Drosophila melanogaster: one gene and its partner. The protein of the gene in region 2 purifies or fractionates together with the protein of the main gene of each other region. This does not show direct contact. Each region holds a gene or a part of one and is shown on either strand. Other genes may lie near its edges.

Evidence for each region.
Region 1: the proteins of Pbp49 (region 2) and Pbp95 fractionate together in Drosophila melanogaster (co-fractionation; 4 studies listed by BioGRID, with this or other methods). This does not show direct contact.

Annotation. Positions count from the first base shown.
Region 1 is NT_033777.3:8,010,361-8,019,912, reverse strand, and holds Pbp95 (PSEA-binding protein 95kD), read right to left. Parts: upstream 6,123-9,552; 5' UTR 6,076-6,122; coding exon 5,614-6,075; intron 5,503-5,613; coding exon 4,947-5,502; intron 4,887-4,946; coding exon 3,739-4,886; 3' UTR 3,303-3,738; downstream 1-3,302. Other genes in the region: CG2747 (uncharacterized protein), read left to right, coding at 1-1,705, 2,453-2,473, 2,908-3,233; CG10435 (uncharacterized protein), read left to right, coding at 6,844-7,782, 8,196-8,618, 8,679-8,804; CG3223 (uncharacterized protein), read right to left, coding at 9,047-9,552.
Region 2 is NT_033778.4:8,125,990-8,134,376, reverse strand, and holds Pbp49 (PSEA-binding protein 49kD), read left to right. Parts: upstream 1-3,053; 5' UTR 3,054-3,121; exon of another isoform or gene 3,122-3,204; 5' UTR 3,205-3,232; coding exon of another isoform or gene 3,233-3,685; 5' UTR 3,686-3,748; coding exon 3,749-4,882; 3' UTR 4,883-5,023; downstream 5,024-8,387. Other genes in the region: Pabp2, read right to left, coding at 1,197-1,236, 1,302-1,435, 1,586-1,987, 2,245-2,343; CG42516 (uncharacterized protein), read left to right, coding at 3,233-3,685; Socs44A (suppressor of cytokine signaling at 44A), read right to left, coding at 5,582-6,053, 6,116-6,672; coil (coilin), read left to right, coding at 7,178-7,312, 7,368-7,453, 7,508-8,387.

The DNA of each region.
Region 1 (9,552 bases), on a different chromosome or scaffold from region 2:
ACTCAGTTATATAACGAATCCATGGCTACTTTGGAGAAGCTAAGCATTTTAAAGGCGTGGGCAGAGGTTTATATTGTGGCCATGATAGGAAATGGAAAGGCTCCGGCTTCCCTACTGAATCTCCAATCCCAACAATCCGGCTTTCAATCCTTAACCAATCTGGAAACGGACTCGGATGTTCCTGACAGTAGGGGTGAAAGTCTTTTAGGATTAGTGCAACCTGAGCTCCACAATCTTTCAACACACTGGCTGAGTGCTATGAAGGATCACGCCTTGCTGCTTCTACCTGCGGAGTTCCAATCCCAACTACCGCACGACGGAGGAGCCTTTTACACCACGGACACCATTAATTCGTCAAAACCACATTACATGACCAGTTGGCCCCCAATCCTCTATGCCTCCGCACTATGGTTAAGGGATGAAGGGTTCGCCCGTCATCTAGACACAAGTGAAGCCGCAGCTGAGTCCAACAATAATCAGATCACTCATGGATCTTTGTCAGCGGATCGCTTCCATATGATCTTCGGCATCTGCATGGAGGCGCTCTGCAGCATGAGAAGCTCTGAAAGGCCGAGAAACATTGTGAGCTGCCTTCGCTCACTGCACAGCATCTTTGATTCTGATTGGGCTAGGAGGCAGTTGGTCAAGGATCGGGCTTTAACCATTGAACTCTGTCATGTTCTACATCGTCAGATACTGACGAGAGATGAATTACTCGTACAACTTCTGTGCGTAGAAATTTTAAAGCAAACAATCCGCGCTGCTAGGGAAGACTTAGAAAGAAAACGGGACGATAATGCCAATTCTGAGGACGGAAAGGGTGGAGAGCGACATGGAGAAGATGATTCTATGCAGCCAGGAAGCTCGCATGTCTACGCCGTTCTGGAGGTTTGTCTTTGCCTATTTGTTCGCCAAATACCTACGATGAATCCCACGAGGCAGGGAGCTGGTGGCTCCGGCTTACAGCTGGACTTTGCCTATGCCAAAATGGCCACTGGCTCGTCATTCTTCTCGGTGCTCGGCGATGAAAACGGCCTGCTAGTATCCAGCGGACTGCAGTGCGTCGAACAGTTGATGGATTTGTGTACTCCCAAAGGTGCCCTTGCAATCCTGCCCACCGTCCTGTATATGACAACCAGTATCGTTAAAGAAATCGCCAACAAGTCGGCCATAGATAGTACTATCTTGGCAAATACGTGTGCTGTGAAGTCTGCCCTGCAGTGCTTGCGATCCGTTTGTGTCCACAAGTGGGCTAAAGTAGAGGAGACAACCGAGGAATGGCAACAGTTACTGCAAAGTGCACTGGCCACCATTGTGGATCTCACCAAAACGGCTGGCGATAACGAGGAAAGGAAAGTCGACGAGGTCACTATGCTGCTGGCCATCACTGTTTTTATTCTACATACTCCCGCCTCCGTTGTGGCTACACCTTCATTGCAATATCCATGCATTAATCACTTCCGGCAGTGCCTGCAGTCGGAGAACCTCTCGGTGAAGCTGCGCTGCATCGAGACCACGCGATCGATCTTCGCTCGGGCCGAATTGAAGACGGCAACACCCTACATCCACGCACTTGCGCCTAGGATAATCGAATCGTTGTATGCGGAGTCCAGCAAGGTGCCCACAAGCGAACTGGAGCTACAGGTCACCCTGGAGAGCATCGTTACCGTGGAGCAGCTTATAGACTTGTCGGAGCCGCAGAACCGTAAGTAACTGGTTGTATTTGAAAATCATTAAGCTTGGTCCTTCTTTAAATCTCGGGGTACTCCTGTTTGAGAAAGAATACTTAACCTTAAGAACGTGTTTTTGTTTATGTTATATAACTAGATTAAATAATTATACCTTTGGATTTAGGAGGGATATATTTGGAATTATAATTCATGGAAAATAGTGAAAAGTATGAAAGAGGTGGAAGAAAGCGTTTTCGACCCTATAAAGTGTATACATTTTTTTTCAGTATCAGAAGGCAAATCTACTTGGCCGTGTCCATACGTGTCTAACGGATATTAAATAGTCCAGGAACTCGACTATATCATAATTAAATGATTGCTAACTAATAAAAATTGATCATTGATTGATTATAAGGACTTCTTCGAATAATGTTAAATTGTGACTAGAAAGGATAAAATTCGACATAACTTTCATTTGGTGCAGGAGTACCCCATTTTAGAATATAGTTCTAGCAGTTCCCCCTTACCCGCCTTAATAGTTAACACACTCCCCTTTCCAACATAATTAGGCTGTTCTGTCGTATCGATCTGTTTTCTTCAAATATATCTTCGAACGCAGCCAAAGTATTGGTTTAAGTACATTCATTTTAAACTTCACACGATGGGAAGGGAAAACGAAATAAGTTATTATATATTTGCTCTTTTCTCTGTCTTCTCTTTTTATCAAATCACAAATCATTTACAAAACATTAAAAAAAATAATATTTAAAAAAAAACGTTAGGAAACATGAACTTGCTACAAGGTAAATAGAAGAGCTCGATCATAAACTCACACGTTTCATGTCAAAAAAGCGTTTCAGAAATATAAGGCATAACTGTTCACACTTACACACGCGTTGTAAATTTACTCCTTTTTCATCGGTCTGCTAAATGGAAATGAAATTATTTTCCTACCATTAAATATGAACATTCTATTCGTTTTTTTATTTATGTTATCTTAACTGCCTTATAGTCATGAATTGCAACGTTTATTGCACACTCAATGTTTTTCAATGCACCAATCCATAGCATAGTTCCTAGTTCTTGTTGTCAATTAAAATTACGCTTTAAATGTTGCACGTATGAAGTAAAAGTACGGGATGAAGCGACTTGTCCATCTCTGTGAATTGATGTTCCGTTTAGCAAGCCCTTAAACTTAGGATTATAATATTAATTGTTCCTTGTCCACACTTCACAGATATTCAGATGCTGACTCTGTTGGTCCCTGTGCTCATTGGCTTCCTAGCGGAACCCAGTCGACTCCGGACGCTGCCAAAGTATCAACGGCAGCTGCACGACCAGGCGCTGCAGTGGCTACTGAAGATCGGTCCGAAATATCCGCAGGAGTTTAAGGCCCTGATGGGTCAAACACCGGAACTGCGACAAAAACTAGAAGCGGCCATTCGCAGCCAACAGCAGTCGATTAACATTGCCCAAAAAGCAAGCGAGGCGCAGAGGAACCTGCTGGCCAAGCCGCAGAAGCCTACGATCAAGCTGAAGACGGATTTCAGTAACTTCCAATGAGCGCCTCCCCCGGGAATCGAACAAAATAGTTCTCAAGCTGCTAGTGCTATCATAAAAATGCTTTGTAATACATTGTTACCGCATGAACAATAGGATGGATCGGTTCTTTTTATATTGAAAATAAGGTTTAGACAATTTTGCTCTAATAACTAAATATCCGGGATAAAAGTTTTGAAAGGATTGTAAAACGGCAACTAAAATATACATTAGTTTTTTTGACTGCTTGTGTATTAAATTGTTTCGTTTTGCAGGGCGTTTTGCTATAAATATACCTTTTTTCAAACCTAAGCAATATTTTTAAACTACAATCAGAAAAATGAGCCACCCTAATGCACATCGGTCCGGCATTTGATTTTGCTGTATGTGAAATACGTTAAAAGTACCTACAAGTTTATAAATTATTTGTTAGCCATTGTAATGAACTATTATATAACGCGATATGAAGTAAAAAATATAAACTTTTAAAGCTTAAATTAATCAATATTACATATTTACTTATTAGTTCCTATGGAACTGTATATTCCATTTCCAATTCCTGCTTGACTGTATTAATCACTTCATTCTCGCTAAGCGGCTCGGATTTTAGATCATTCTGTGGTGCCGGCTCTGGATCGATTAATTCAACATGTGTACCCATTTTTGCATAATCGTGTTTGGGGCGTGGTAAAGAAACTAATGCTGATGGTAAGTCCGTAAAGAGTTGTGATTCCAAGCGGCTGAGAAGAGTGGTACGATAGAAAAGAGCTTGCAACCGCTTGCGGAAAAGCTGGATGGGTGGTAAAGATTCATTGTATTCGAAGCTACGTGTTTCCGTATCCTTGCGACAATCTCCGGAAAGAATGCATAAGGCTCGAAACCCCATCATAGTTGACCAGTTGGGTGGCAAAAGTGGGCTCTTCATATCACCTTCCTCGTCCGGAAGGTTTCGGATCATGCTGTTGTAGCACTTAAGCACATCATTTGGCATAAATATGTTTTGTAAGAGCGAGGGTCGAATTGGTGGCTTATATGCAAGAGCTCTGATCACGTAGGCAAGGTTATAAACGTCTTTTGGAACTGGAAAAGTTTTTGGAGTGCTCAGCGTCAGATTATAACTAAACTTAAAGAAGTTGCAGAACTCTATATCAACTTTCGAAAGTCTTGAGAAACTCTCTGCCTGTCGCTCGATCCTAGCCTTTTTCGATTTGGGACCGCGCACCCGAGTTCCTTTCGGGGGGTTATCATTAACTAATGACTCTGGGTCCTCTTGCCACTCTTGCAAACGCTGCGCCCAGTTATCAGAGTTAACCAAGGACACCTTCTTCGATCGGCGGCGTGGCAGGTCTTCCACTTTTGCATTGGGATTTTGTTCAAGGAATTTCTTGATGACTAGGAAGCGGGTTCGACAGCTGGTCCGCGTGTGATTGCCCAAGAACGTGGCACAGTTAAGCCACTGGGAAGCCCCGTATTGCGTTACGAAGCTCATCAGCCGTGTGTCGTCCTGAACGGACCAGGAGTCGGTCTTGTTGCGTTGTGCCAGTACATTGTGGTAGCGAGTTCGGAGTTGGGTTAACGACCGGTTTGGGAAAAGAGAACGCGGAAAACAGTGAAACTTTCCATTGTACTCTTCAACGGCGGCGAACAGCATCATGTCCTCCTTGGTAGTGAAGGGTTCTGCAGTTTCAAAGGAGCGAAATAATAAATTAAAAATTATTCAATATATTGGGTACCTACCGTGACTGATGCTAGGATGCAACACGTAGTAGTAACGACCAATCAGCGTTGATTTGGACTTGTCCGGGAAGTATTCCACGACTTTTTTCCAGTTTATTACACTGTTTGCCGTATTCCTATCAACGATCGCCCTTAGTTTATCGTTGTCCTCTTCGCTCCAGCGGTGGCTGTTCTTTGGCTCCAGCAGAAAACGTAGGGCGGTATGAAAGCGTACGAAGCACTGATAGTCGGAACGTCGGTCTAGCGACGCGGCTATCAACTCCCAGTTCTGCATCCTGTTCGCAGTGGCCACCGCCAGTAAAGTTTCGTCCTCCTCGGGTGACCAATCGTCTCGCCTGAGATCTGGTGTTAAGTAGACCCTCCACATTGCCTCACAGCTATATGGTGAGTGCCGATATTCCAAGTCCAGGGTGCTGATCTGGTTCCAGTCGATGCTGAAGCTACTATCCGCAGTTGCCAGCAGACTTACCAGTGTACTTAAGTGTCGCTCGATTGGCTTGCGCTTCAGGCTTCCGCTGGGCAGCGCATTCGTACTGTGGGCCCTATGCTCCAGTAACTGAGAATTGAGTTTTTTATAAAACAGAATATTAGTATTGCTATTTAACTTTTCATTGCTATTAAATGGGTATTTGGCAATCAATCTGAACCACTCGAAGGGTCCACTCACCTGTTGTTTTATACCCATTATCACATTCTTTTTGTCTAGCAATGTCCATACATGTCTGGAGTGCATGTCAAAGTCGGTGGGAAACATCTCCGTGTGGCACCGCGCCTCGTAATCCTCGTTGTTAGGACAGCTTCGACCATCGATGTCTCGGAAAAACAGGTTGCCCTTGAAGCGAAACGTGCCCTTCCGCAGGATCGCCCCGCTAAGATTGAGGGAATTCGGGCCGAAATGGGAACGAGGTCGCAGCCGGCGCACCAGGATGTCCTCGTTCCGAGAGAAGCGGGCCCTTACTACTTGTAACATGGCCAGAATTTTGGTCCGGACTTGCATGAGCCGGCGCTGGAGCTCCTGATTCAGCTGCAGTGCGTTGGCGGCGCTCGGCTTCGCTGTGTTCTGCAAGAGGGCCGAAATCTCGTCCATAAGCTGCTGCTGGTTTATGCGCAGATCATCGGCATCGTCCATTGCTCAGGTTGTTTTGTTTACATTGCCTTTGACTTTAGCGATGAACTATTCCCGGCATCAACTATCGATAAAATGGTTGCAATGGTCGAACTGCATTAAGCAAATTAATACCCTGCAAATAAAGTAACATTGAACATTACATAGGAAATTGCTGTATTATTGGACTAAGACCTATTAAAGAATAGATAGAGATAAAATAGATATCATAACTGCCATTTTTCGTCCTTATTTATTCCCAGAAACTTTGGTTTTATCTAGTGGAAAGAACATGATTTCAATAAACTCAGTTGTAAAAGCGCGGGATTATTTTAAACAAAAGTTTGGTCAAAAATAGTTTTTTAGAATAAAGATCTTAAAACTATCCGCCATGCACTAAATAATGATACCCTTGGTAACAAAAAATATTTAGTATGTCAAAATGTTTTGTAATTTTAATTTTTTTATGTTGTATAACGTGATCTGTAGAAACTATTAATGTATTCCGATTTTTGTTAAGCCTTTCATACGCCCTCAAATTGGCGAAAATTTGGGTAGATTTAATATCAGCTGTTGTCAAACTCGCAACCAAGCCTGAGTACACCTAATTAGGTGAGCATCTCAAGGAAAAACGATATTCAACACTAGTCGAAATTGGCGAATCAGCAGTGACCGATGACAATACCAATCGCCTATCGCTGCTGCTCGAGAAACAACAAAAGAGAACAGAGAAAAAAAAACGCGTAGTAGCAACTTAATTAACAAAATTCGTGGTGAATGCGCTAGCATAACATGGAAGATGTCCCGGTCAAGATAGTCGAGCGCTACAAACCACCGCCTGCCGTGTACCACCTGCCGCAGGCGACCCTCAATCGCCTGTCGCAATTCCGAGAAGGTTTCTACACGGATCATCCGGATTACCAGTATGACTGTCAGCTGGAGAGGGCCGTGCTGAGTCAGGCGCAACGATGGCGCCACCTGCGTCGCCAGCAGCGCGAGGAGCGAGCCAGTCGCCAGGAGCGTCGCAAGGAGGAACGCCAACGGGCGCTGGAGGCGAGACAGAAGGAGATGCTTGGAGCAGTTGATTATCCTAGTGCGGACGACTTGTCATCGGATGAGGACGAGAAGGAGCGAAAGAAGAACGAGCCCGAGCAGAGGGACGAGGAACAGCAACAGCAGCCACCACCTCCAATCACCGCTGAGTCACGCGACTCTTCCCACGAACCAAAGTCAATAAGTGTGTGTAATTTTCACAATATCTTGCAGCCCACCATTCTGAGCACCACTCCAGTGGTCAGTCCGCAGACGCTGCACAAGCGTAACAGCTCCCTAAACTACGCAGACTTTGAGTACAATATGAACTCCACACCTTTCGACAATATCGAGCTGAAGACCATCAACGATCTAGACATACTAGCTCAGGTTCTGCACCAGACACAGCTGGAGAAGCGCATAGATCAACAGCAGCAGGATCAGCAGCAGCAGGAGCCGCCGCATGAGGATCATTCCAAGGAGGAGCAATCTGGCAATGAAGTGCCAGCTCCGGTGGAGCTAGCAATGACTACGCTGGCGGAGACCAAAGCGACGCTCGACAGCGTCAATTTCCATGTTCACTGTGATGATAATGCGGACAGGGGCGAGCCAAGCCACATTCCAACCACGGCTCAATACCTAACGCCCATGTACAGCGCTTCCGCCCAGCAGCCGTTGCATAAACCGGAACACTTTCAGGTGGGACACTTTTAACTAGTTAAAGAGCCTTAATAATATGTTAACTTGATTCTTTTGAATGTCACACTATCCTTGTATTCTCAAAATCCAATCCTCATTACTCATTAAATTGTAATAAAAGAGGAAATTGTTCATTCACTCACAGTATACCATTTAATCGGGATGATTTCTGAGCATTTGCAGGTAGATTACCTAAAAATAAATAACTCATCACAAGTCGAGGGTGGGGCTATTGCTCAAACTAATTAGTACCACAATTGAGGGTGTAATATATTTTGACTGAGCTTGAGTACGATCTTAGCATGGTCTTATAAACCAAGTATTAGTCCGATACCCAATATTTTATTTCAATCGAAAATAAGTTTTTTTCAGACGCTCCGATTTAAAATATGGGCTAATTATTATTTTCGCAGGTGTACCACATGCAGGGCTACAGTCACCAGCCCTTCTACCCTCCGCAGCAGCATTCTTTCCAACAGTTTAGCAACTACCAAGTCAATGGATTCGGGACTCAAAACCTTTTGAAGGCTCCTCCAGCGCCTTCCTCCGTGCATGCGCTCAGCCAGTCGGAGGACGAGGTAGCCACGAAGTCAAGGAGTGTGCCTGACATCCTGCGGGAGCTGAAGACGGAGCTGCAGCAGGCGGAGAAGCGTCGTACCCGCCTGCACAGTCACAACGCGGAGCAGCAGCCAACGGTGGAGTTGGCAGTGGACAGAAACTCCTTTAGGGAGCTGGCTGGTCCGGCACAGAAGTTGGCCCAACGTATCAGTACTATGGGTTTCCCTCTGGAACGGGTGGCAAAGGTGGTTAGTCTATGCGGTATCGACGATAAGAAGGTAAGTCAGTTTCGAAAACTTTTGCAAAATGCATTATTCCGATCTGGGACGTCTTTTCAGATTATCGAACACCTTATTCCACTGGGAGAACTTCTGGACCTCGGTTTTGACGAATCGAAAATCTCGGCGGCGCTACTCAAGTTCAACAATAATAAGGACAAGGCGCTGGACTATCTAATCAACTAGTATAATTTAGTGGAAACCTTTTGTACGGCCGGCTTTTACCCCCATGCCCAAACTCCGCAATCCCACCCCAATTAGCTTACAAAGATGACTCCTCTAAACGTATATTTAATTATTAAAAGTTATTAAGAGATATTCCTTGCTTAAGTTGGGAGTTTAATGCTTCAGAATCCTCAGCAGCAGAATAAATATAAGTCCGTAAAGTAAGCACATTATGTTGGCTTTTTAGTCAATTCCGATCCTTATTAATTCATGCTCAGCATAAGCAGATTAATAGCGTGTTCCACATTCCCATCGGAAAGTTCTAGATAACTAACGTTCTGAGTGTGATTAATGAAGCCCATGGCGGCCATGGTACGCAGTTGTTCGGTGAACCGATGGCGACGGTAGCGGCGTGGCAGCACATCACTGTCGTCTCCACCATCGTCCTCGTCATCTACATCATCGGCTGGTGCTGTGGCGGCTTGCTCTGGTACTGGTCCTTCTCCGGACTCCACCTCCATGTTCTCCACAGGCGCCGGTTGATCCTGCGACAGGGACTGAAAAGCGCGGGCCAGCTCGTTGCGGAGCAACTCTGAGGATATGGATCCGCTGCTGATGGCTCCACTGCTGCTTCCTGCGCCTGTTCCCGCTGCTCCTCCAACGCCTGCTAATGGCGCCGAGGTGGTTCTAGGTCTTTCATCACCCTGCACGGCCTCGTCCGCGTTTCTCTGCGCAATATTCGACAGTGAATTAAACGGGGTCACGTTAG
Region 2 (8,387 bases):
TTGAATGAAGAATGTTCTTTTTATTATTCACAATATTTCTGAGGGCTGGAAGAGAGGTAGGGCTGCTGGTGGTGGCAGGAATCAAGCTGTTACTCGCATCCTCAATCCCAAAAAACCTTGTCCCGCCCAAAGGAAAGGCATTGATAGCTTATTTAATTCGATTATATTTGTCTTCATCTTTTTCGCTTTAGTAAATTCAACTTCTTTTCTTATCTTCTCTTTACTCTATATATTTTTTTTTTAAATATATAAATTACACACGCACTTTTTATATATTTTGTTGATTTACTTCTTTCCCAAGAGTCTTGTGTTCTTTTGATTTTTTTTTTATATTTTCTTCCTTCTTTATTTGCTTTTGCCATCTTTTAACTTCTTTTATTTGGGGTTTGTGGTTTCTTTTGCGCTTCTTTTATATATACTTATTGTTGTATATACTTTTTTGTTTTTTAAATCAACTTCTTGTTTTTCATAATCTTTTTTTTTTTTTTGATGTTTTATTGAAAATTAAAATGTGTGAAAAGGGGGTGTTTGGTGTTGGGTGCTTCAAAAAACATTATAGCCAAGTCAAGATATTCGTTTTCCTTGTTGATTTTTTATTATTTTCGAGGTCTCTTCTTTTCGCCTGTTTTCTTGCTGCTGATGCATTTTTTATTGAAACGATATTTTTTCTGGCGTTTTCTGTTGCGATTGTTTTCTCTTTTTTATTTAGCAAAGAAGTTTGGCAATAAAATAATGTTTTTTGAAATTATATTGTAAAAAAATCTGAAATCAAATAGTTAATGGATTAAAGACGACAGTCGGTAAATCGAATGGAAGCATTATAATAAAACCCAACACGCTGCGAATGAGAGCAAGGTATTCCCATAAAGGGTTCGGAAAATTATTCTGTTTTTGACCATAAATTTGATTGTTTTTATTTCCCGTAATGATCTACCAGCTATGCAAACTAAATCTATTTAGCTCCATAAAAACAAACGGCATTTTCTAACAACTTAAATTTAACATAAAAAGACGTCCTCATTGGTTTTATAAATTTTAAGAAAAAAAATGTATCAAAATATAAGAGATAGATATCGGATTACTTTATGTAACCGACATAAATCGGACGCAACCCACACATATAAAATTTCAACTATCAATTATTTTCAGTTCGAAATTGTCAACTTACCTTACTAGGGATTTTAATAAAACAATAATCAGTAAGGAGCGTAGTAATTGGCGCGACCACGGTAACCCCTTCTGGAACGAAAGACAGACCGGGATTAGCTCGATCCAATCGGGATTTTCCAGAGCCCACTTACATAGCTCTTCGGGCGCCTCGGAAGGTGGAGTGACAGCACGCCCGGGAGACACGGGCTCCTCGACCCCGGAAGCTGCCGCGTGCGAAACGGTTTGTGGTGGAGAGTCCAGGGCGGTTTGTGCGCTTCGACATTACCTGAAAGTCAATAGATTAAGCTAAAGTCAACTCTAAATATGTGCTTTCAAAATTGCGCTACGTAGGAGTCCCTAGGACTCATTCTATCCACATATGTACATGAGAGTTTGATAGGTAGCAGGACTAGCAAAAAGTGCTTCAGATACTCACCTTTATTTGACGCCCTCGGAAGAGGGTTTCGTTCATGGCCAATGCCGTCTCGACAAACTCCTTGGAACCAAACTCAATGTATGCGAATCCCTTGGGGTGCCCGTCAGCCTTGTTGCAGAGTATGGTTACTCGGTTGATTGTGCCGCATCCGTGGAAGTGGGCCTCCAGTTCCTCGGCCGATGCGCCGTAGTCCACATTGCCCACGTAGACGGACCGCGTGTCGATTTCCTGCTTCTCCTCAAGAGAAAGCGGGACTGTGGCCAAGCCGGTGGTAGACCCACCGGCCATTTGTTTGTCCACCTCCGACTGCATCTGCTTTATCTTCTCGGCCTCCTCTTCCATCTCCTTGACTCGAGCCTTTATGGCCTCCAGTTCCGGGTCGATTTGCATGCTGCCCTCCTCCTGGCGACGAGGAAAATATGAAATTTAGTGGTATTTGATTTGGAGCGATGAGCAAACGCCCGAAACCACAGCAGACAATGGAATGGAGTGGCGGTGCGAAGTGACGCTCTGAAAATGGCAGCCATTGCTGCGGTTTTCGGCTTTGTATATCCCCCAAAGCTTTGCGAGCTTTTCCAGGGAATTCGGCGGGCTTTCGCAAGGCGTGAGGCCAAGAAACTGGTTCTTGGGCACTGTCTACAAGGGCAACCCCAACTCACCTCGACCTCTGTGGCGATCTCAGTCTCTTGCTCCCCGTTCGTCTCCTCCAATGACTCCAGGAGCTGATCCTCGTTCAATGTGATATCTTCATCGGCCATTGCTTTGGATTTGGGTTTGTTTACGTCTGCTACAAAAGCTCGGTTTTGTTGGCGCAAAAGCTTCCGGCGTGGTACTCAAAACGGCAGTTGTCGTAACTATGTATGTATGGTAGCTGTCAATGAGAAAAGGGCGGCGAAAGTGAGCATAAAGAGCGTAAAACATTAAGAGCGCGAATGAAGAGTTCATCATGCAAATGCAGTGAAAATCCAAGCCATAAGTAAATAAATTCAGGCTGCGGACACCGAAATGTCTAGGTTTCACTGCGTTCGCACTACTACACTGATATTTAATTAAACACACTGTACTTACGTTTAATAAATGTACAAATTACGAGCTCGTTCTGCTGACGTTGAGTTCGCCCAAAATGGCTGCCCTGTGAAAACACACGTACGCTGGGTTGCTGGGTTGCTGTTTTTCGTTCAAAAGTCTACGTTTTTAAACCCTTTTCGACTTTGTTTCGCGCCACACCACGTCAGCATAAATATTTATTTATAAGCTTATTTATTTATTATTTACTAATATTTACAACTATACGAAAACGTACGTAGTTTTTGACACAAATTGAAACAGATTTGTGTTCGCCTCGTTTTTACCGATGACAGTTTTCGCCTCGATAGTTTCGATGGTTTGGTGGTGGGTTTACCTATCGATAACTGCCGGTATTTAAGAAAGCAGTTCTTTGGATGATAAAAATAATAGTATTTTCACACCACAATGCCATTTTAAATTTACCATAGGAAGGAAAGAAGAGGAATGTGCACGCACATTTCTAACAAGGTTTTGTAAATGGGAATCAGACAAATTATTGTTTAAGGAAGTCATATATTGCGAAATAACGCCATCATTCAACCATCAATCAGGGCCCATGCATAACGATAAAAGGAGAACATGAACGATTCCTCCGATTCGGAGTACGAGGACACAGAGTACCTGGTATTTGCGGATTTCAAGAACCACATTCATCCGCACCAGCTGAAGCACGAGGACGCGGCCATTAAGATCATCGGAATCGAGAGTGACACGCCCATGGCCGAGGTAAATGGAAGCATTTATCGGGGACGCTACGAACATTCCGTGGGAACCAACGTGTTCTTTGAGAAGGAAAAAGACAATCTGGCAAGTGATCCGCTTTTTGAGTCAGTGTGTCGCCAGCGGTACCAGTACGTGGACAAATCCACCAAGGTGATATCTTTTGAAAGGGTCTACGTGGACAATTTGCACCAGGAGGTGGAGAAGTCGGCTGAGACTGAAGAGGACGATCAGACCGAGCCAAAGCCAGAATCTCTGAAGCTAAATATAACTTACAAGGAGGCTATTAACAAGTTTGGAGAAGATCATTGAGTGTGGAGAACTGAGTCTAATCCTGAACAAAAAACACTCTTTCAAGACATACCTCTTAGTACCATGGATACCACCTATATTACAACGAATCCAGCTTTAAGCCTGCGAGACTTTCTAGCCGACTATCAAAAGAAAATATCCGGTACTGCAGACGAAGTGCCCTTCTTTCTCCAAAAAAACCCAGTACTTGTCGACGTGTCTGAAAGCTGTTCCCTGGACTTGATCGAGTCCCCAGACGACAGCTCGATTGCAGTCTTCCAGCCCGCCGCAGACAAATGCCGCCCAACCTTTTCTCCGCCGCAGGAGAACCAGCATGTGCCCTCCACTTTTACTGCTCTAAGCCAGCACAAGGACAAGTCCCGTAAGTGTCCCTTTGGCCGCACCCAGTACAGCCACAAACTGAATCCGACGCCGACAGACTCGCCTAACCTGCACATCGATGCTTGCGGCGAACTGGAGCTAACCGTGCGTCTATATCGACCACCGCGGGCCTACCATCGCGGGTTTAAGGTGGAGATTCCCGTTTTCGCCGAGGAGTTCGTATGTCTGGGCAGCAATTATCTGACCGAGCTGCGGGACAAGATCAGCTGCGTTTGCAATGGAAAACGGTTTGTCGACATCAGCGACGATCCAGATGCACCGTTGCCATCCATTGACACAAATCCCGGTTACTTCTTCATCAACGACACATTCTACAACGACCAGCGCAATCCGGACAATCCCGACTATTCCAAGACCGTCTTGCAGTGGGCTGCCAGAGCGAACGGAGTGAACGGAGAAACGCTTAAGGTGGAGAGTATGGAGGGCAAAAGATTCATCGATCTCACTGTCAGCCCCGGATCACCGCTACACTACCTGCACCACGGCAATTGCGAACACCTGTTTGTGATCTCCCAGGTAGAGGTGCTAACGCCACTTAGTAAACGGCCAGATCGCAGCCTGTATCCCTATCCTCACGCCTTCAGTACGTTTAATCGCAGGACTTGCTATATGTGCGGCATTCGCAGCTATAGCTTCATCGTGAACCAGTCCCGGCGACAGCTGCACGATCCCTCCTACCTGTGCCGCAGATGTTTTCTCAGCTTCTTTTACGTGGATGGTGTCAAGCTGGGCCAGTTCAAAGCCTATCGCATGTATGACCATGTAGAGCTGGAGGGCGAAGAGGAGGACATTAAACAGCAAAATCTCCCCTCCTGAATATACATATACATTTGTGTGATTTTTTCTTTATTTGCGAGCTCCTTTGACTGCAAGATCGCTCAAGGAGTTGATTGATATTTTGTTCTTGTAAAATATTCATAGATAGATTTAAATAAAATACATACACGTTGCAACAAGAGTAATTGGCATTGAACGTATTCGATTGCCGTAAAGCTGCCTAAATTCCATGCAATCTAGATTAGCAAAAAGTTAGTGTCCAAGTTAGGAATACAAAAATGCAAACAACGTAAATAGTACGATACATCTGGCTTAGAACTTACGTTAATACATATATGCAGTAGTTCAATGTTTAAAAATTTGCTTAAGGATTTGCACACTGTGGTGCAGAGTATAGACTTGACCAGGACCCATATAAAACAAACCAATAGACTAAATATGGCAAATAACATAATACATTATCCTAGACAAGATACTAGTACTAACCGTACTTAGCAGTACAATACAGTAAAATTCTGTGCACTGGGATTCCGGCGTGCACGTGAAGAGAGACTGTGCGCTTAGTTACTGGGGCGTAGAAATGCATCAACAACATATTGCCAATCCGACCAACAAATATCATTACGAACAACTGCAGGCTGGGATTCCATTCGCCCGGACCTCTTTGGTGTACGCGCTTGCGTTTACTTCAGTGTTAAAGCTTTGACCAGCGGCTTCTCGACGGCGGGCGGCGGTTGCCTAACTCTGGAAGACCAGCTCCCGCTCCACCGACAAGTACTCCAGCATCTGCGCCGGCACTGGCAACTGGGCCAGCTGTTCGCGAGACATCTGGCGCTGCAGAACACGGCGGCATAAGTCCTGCAGCTTGGGCATGTTGGAGTACCGGCTCAACGGGTACTTGAGGATCACTGGAAACGGTGGCTGCATCTCGTTGGGAACCTTCACAAAGCACACAAAGTTGTCGTTGGTGCAGCGGTGCAAGATATCTTCGATCATCTCGACAATGGACTCGTACTTAAGTTCCTCGAAGTGCCAAAAATTGTCGCGATATTCCAGTCGATAATGCAGGGTTACGTTCACAATCCGAAAGCTGAGCGTGAATTGGGATCCGCTGGTTTCCGAGTCGCGGACTAGAAACGACCCAGTCGGCTTGTCACTCAACTGCCGCTGCGAATCGCGCCTGGAGATCTCACCCCAGTACCACACTTGGCTAAAAACAAACAAAGGGCATGAGTCATCGATCGTTGATGGACGGAGAAACACGGCGCTTACTTGAGCATCTCGGAGCAGGCCTTGTACATGATCTGGTTGGGCGAGTGGGCGTCCTCGCGCTCAAGCCATTTCTTCCGGATAAAGCGCAAGTAGTCGTGTGTGAATGGTAGCGTGGGTTCCGGACAGATGGCCGGCGTAAGGAACTCGTAGGTGGCATCAGTAGTTCCGCCGTCGTCGCAGTCGCCCATGGAGTGCCAGTTTCGCAGGGAGCTGAGCCCTTGGCCCACCTTCCTTCGTAGTCTGGCAAACACGTTTCGCTTGTCCTTGTCCCGCCTTCTGCGCAGAGTTCCTGTGCCCGTGCCCCCATTGCTGCAGCTGGCCATGGAAGAGTCCGCTGCCTCAAGGACGCACACTTCGTTGTTGTTGTTCTGCGATCCACTGGTGGAGACGGCGGCGGATGCAGTCACGGCCAGCGCCGAGTCGGACTTCTTGCGCCTGGTCAGCGAGTGGAACCAGCCCTTCTTTTCCTTCTCCCTGTCCCTCGGGGAGTCACCACCGCCAGTGAGCGCCTGGCTCCGCTGGCTGCTCTGGTTTTGACTCTGGTCGCCGTGGCTCATTTTGGAGTGGAATCGGATCGGATCGGAGCTTCCTCGTGGTGGAATTACATCATTGATCTAATTCGGAGCCGTGATCAATGCCTAACTTTATTGATAAGAACTATTTGTTTTCGTTGTACACAAGAACTGTCTTATCGCTATCGGTCGTGCGTAGCTGGTAAATGCTATCGATAACATAGGGGAGTTTAAAAAATTAAATTCTCTGCAAGGCAAAGCTTTAATTTATCCATTATTACAGCCCTCTGCTTTAGGCATTTTTAAAACTAACTTAAATTATTTCAAGTAAAATCTCGTTGACTTAAATATATTGTTTTCCATATTGCAATTTTTTAATATTAATGTAGTTTGTCATTCAAATAAGCTTTATTTTTATAAATCGCTACAAAAAATATGACATTAATTTGACAGAAATTTAAACACATCGATTTAACGATAACGAAATCGAACATACTTCCATCTCTAGCACATTTAAAATCATTTTAATCATAAGAAAACTAAGTCAAAAATGCAACACTCCAGCATGAAGGTGGATCTATCAAACTTTTTCAAGGACGAACGACGAAATTCGTTGGTTTTCATCGATGCAGCATGGAACAACATCAAGGACCTCCAGGACCACATACAAAACCTCTTCAGCTTGGCAAGATTTTTAAGAATCTCTAACTGCTAATTCTAAATAAATTGCATTCAAACAGAAGGACATTAGTCTGCTCACCTCAGATGGATGCTATCTGCCCCCGAGGGAGTCTATCAAAGTGTTGAACTCTGCCGAAGGACTCAAGTAGGTGAGCTTATTTCTTTTTACGATCTACTTGAGCATATTCATCCCTTGCAGAGCCTTTCGGTTTGCCAGCCACGATAGTGATACCTTTGTGAGCCCTGCTCCTGTAAAATCCAGTAAAAAGCGCAAGAATCGATCCGTCGAGGAACAGGTTCACCTAACCGCCTCCACTCCCCTCCGACCTTCAAAGCGCTCCAAGAACCAGAACAACTCAGAATGGATAAATATTGCAGAAAACCCATCTCGTGTGAGAAAGAAGGAGTTGCTAGATATGGCTCCTGGACCTTCTGTACAATCAAAGCTCTTGACAAACAAAGGCACTCCAAAGGCCCCTGAAACTCAGACAGAAGTTTCTAACATGTCAGCGAACATCGAGACAGAGAACAAGGAATCTGCTCCTCAGATTAAAAATAAATCCAAAAACAAGAAACCGACCAAATCGCCCGAGGCATCTGACCAGGTAGAGAATGAACCTGCTCCTAAGAGTATTTCTCGATGCACGCTCAAGGAGGGTAAAATGTCAGAAAGCAAGAATCAAGAGACATCGCCTGACATTCTATCAGAAAAATCTGGTGTGGTAACGAAGGAAAACGAAACTCGAGAGGAGCAACAGGACAAAACACACTTGGAGTCCAACAAAATTCCGGATAAACTATCTCAACTGAAAGCAGGGGACCAAATTGAGAAGAGTCCTGGCATTGCTGCTAGCCTCCTATCGATTTCGTTCCGCTCCCCTCTCTTGGAGATGCCCTTTAATGTTCCGCGCATATTTCAATTTCCCACTAAAAAACAACAAATTGAAATTCTGGAATATAAAAAACTTAAGCCCATCAGTCCTCGTTTTTTGCTGCAGAAAGGAGCTAAGAGTGATGATACGGCTAAACAATTCCCAAGCAATGGGAAGGATTCAACCTTAAAGCCTAAATCCTACGAA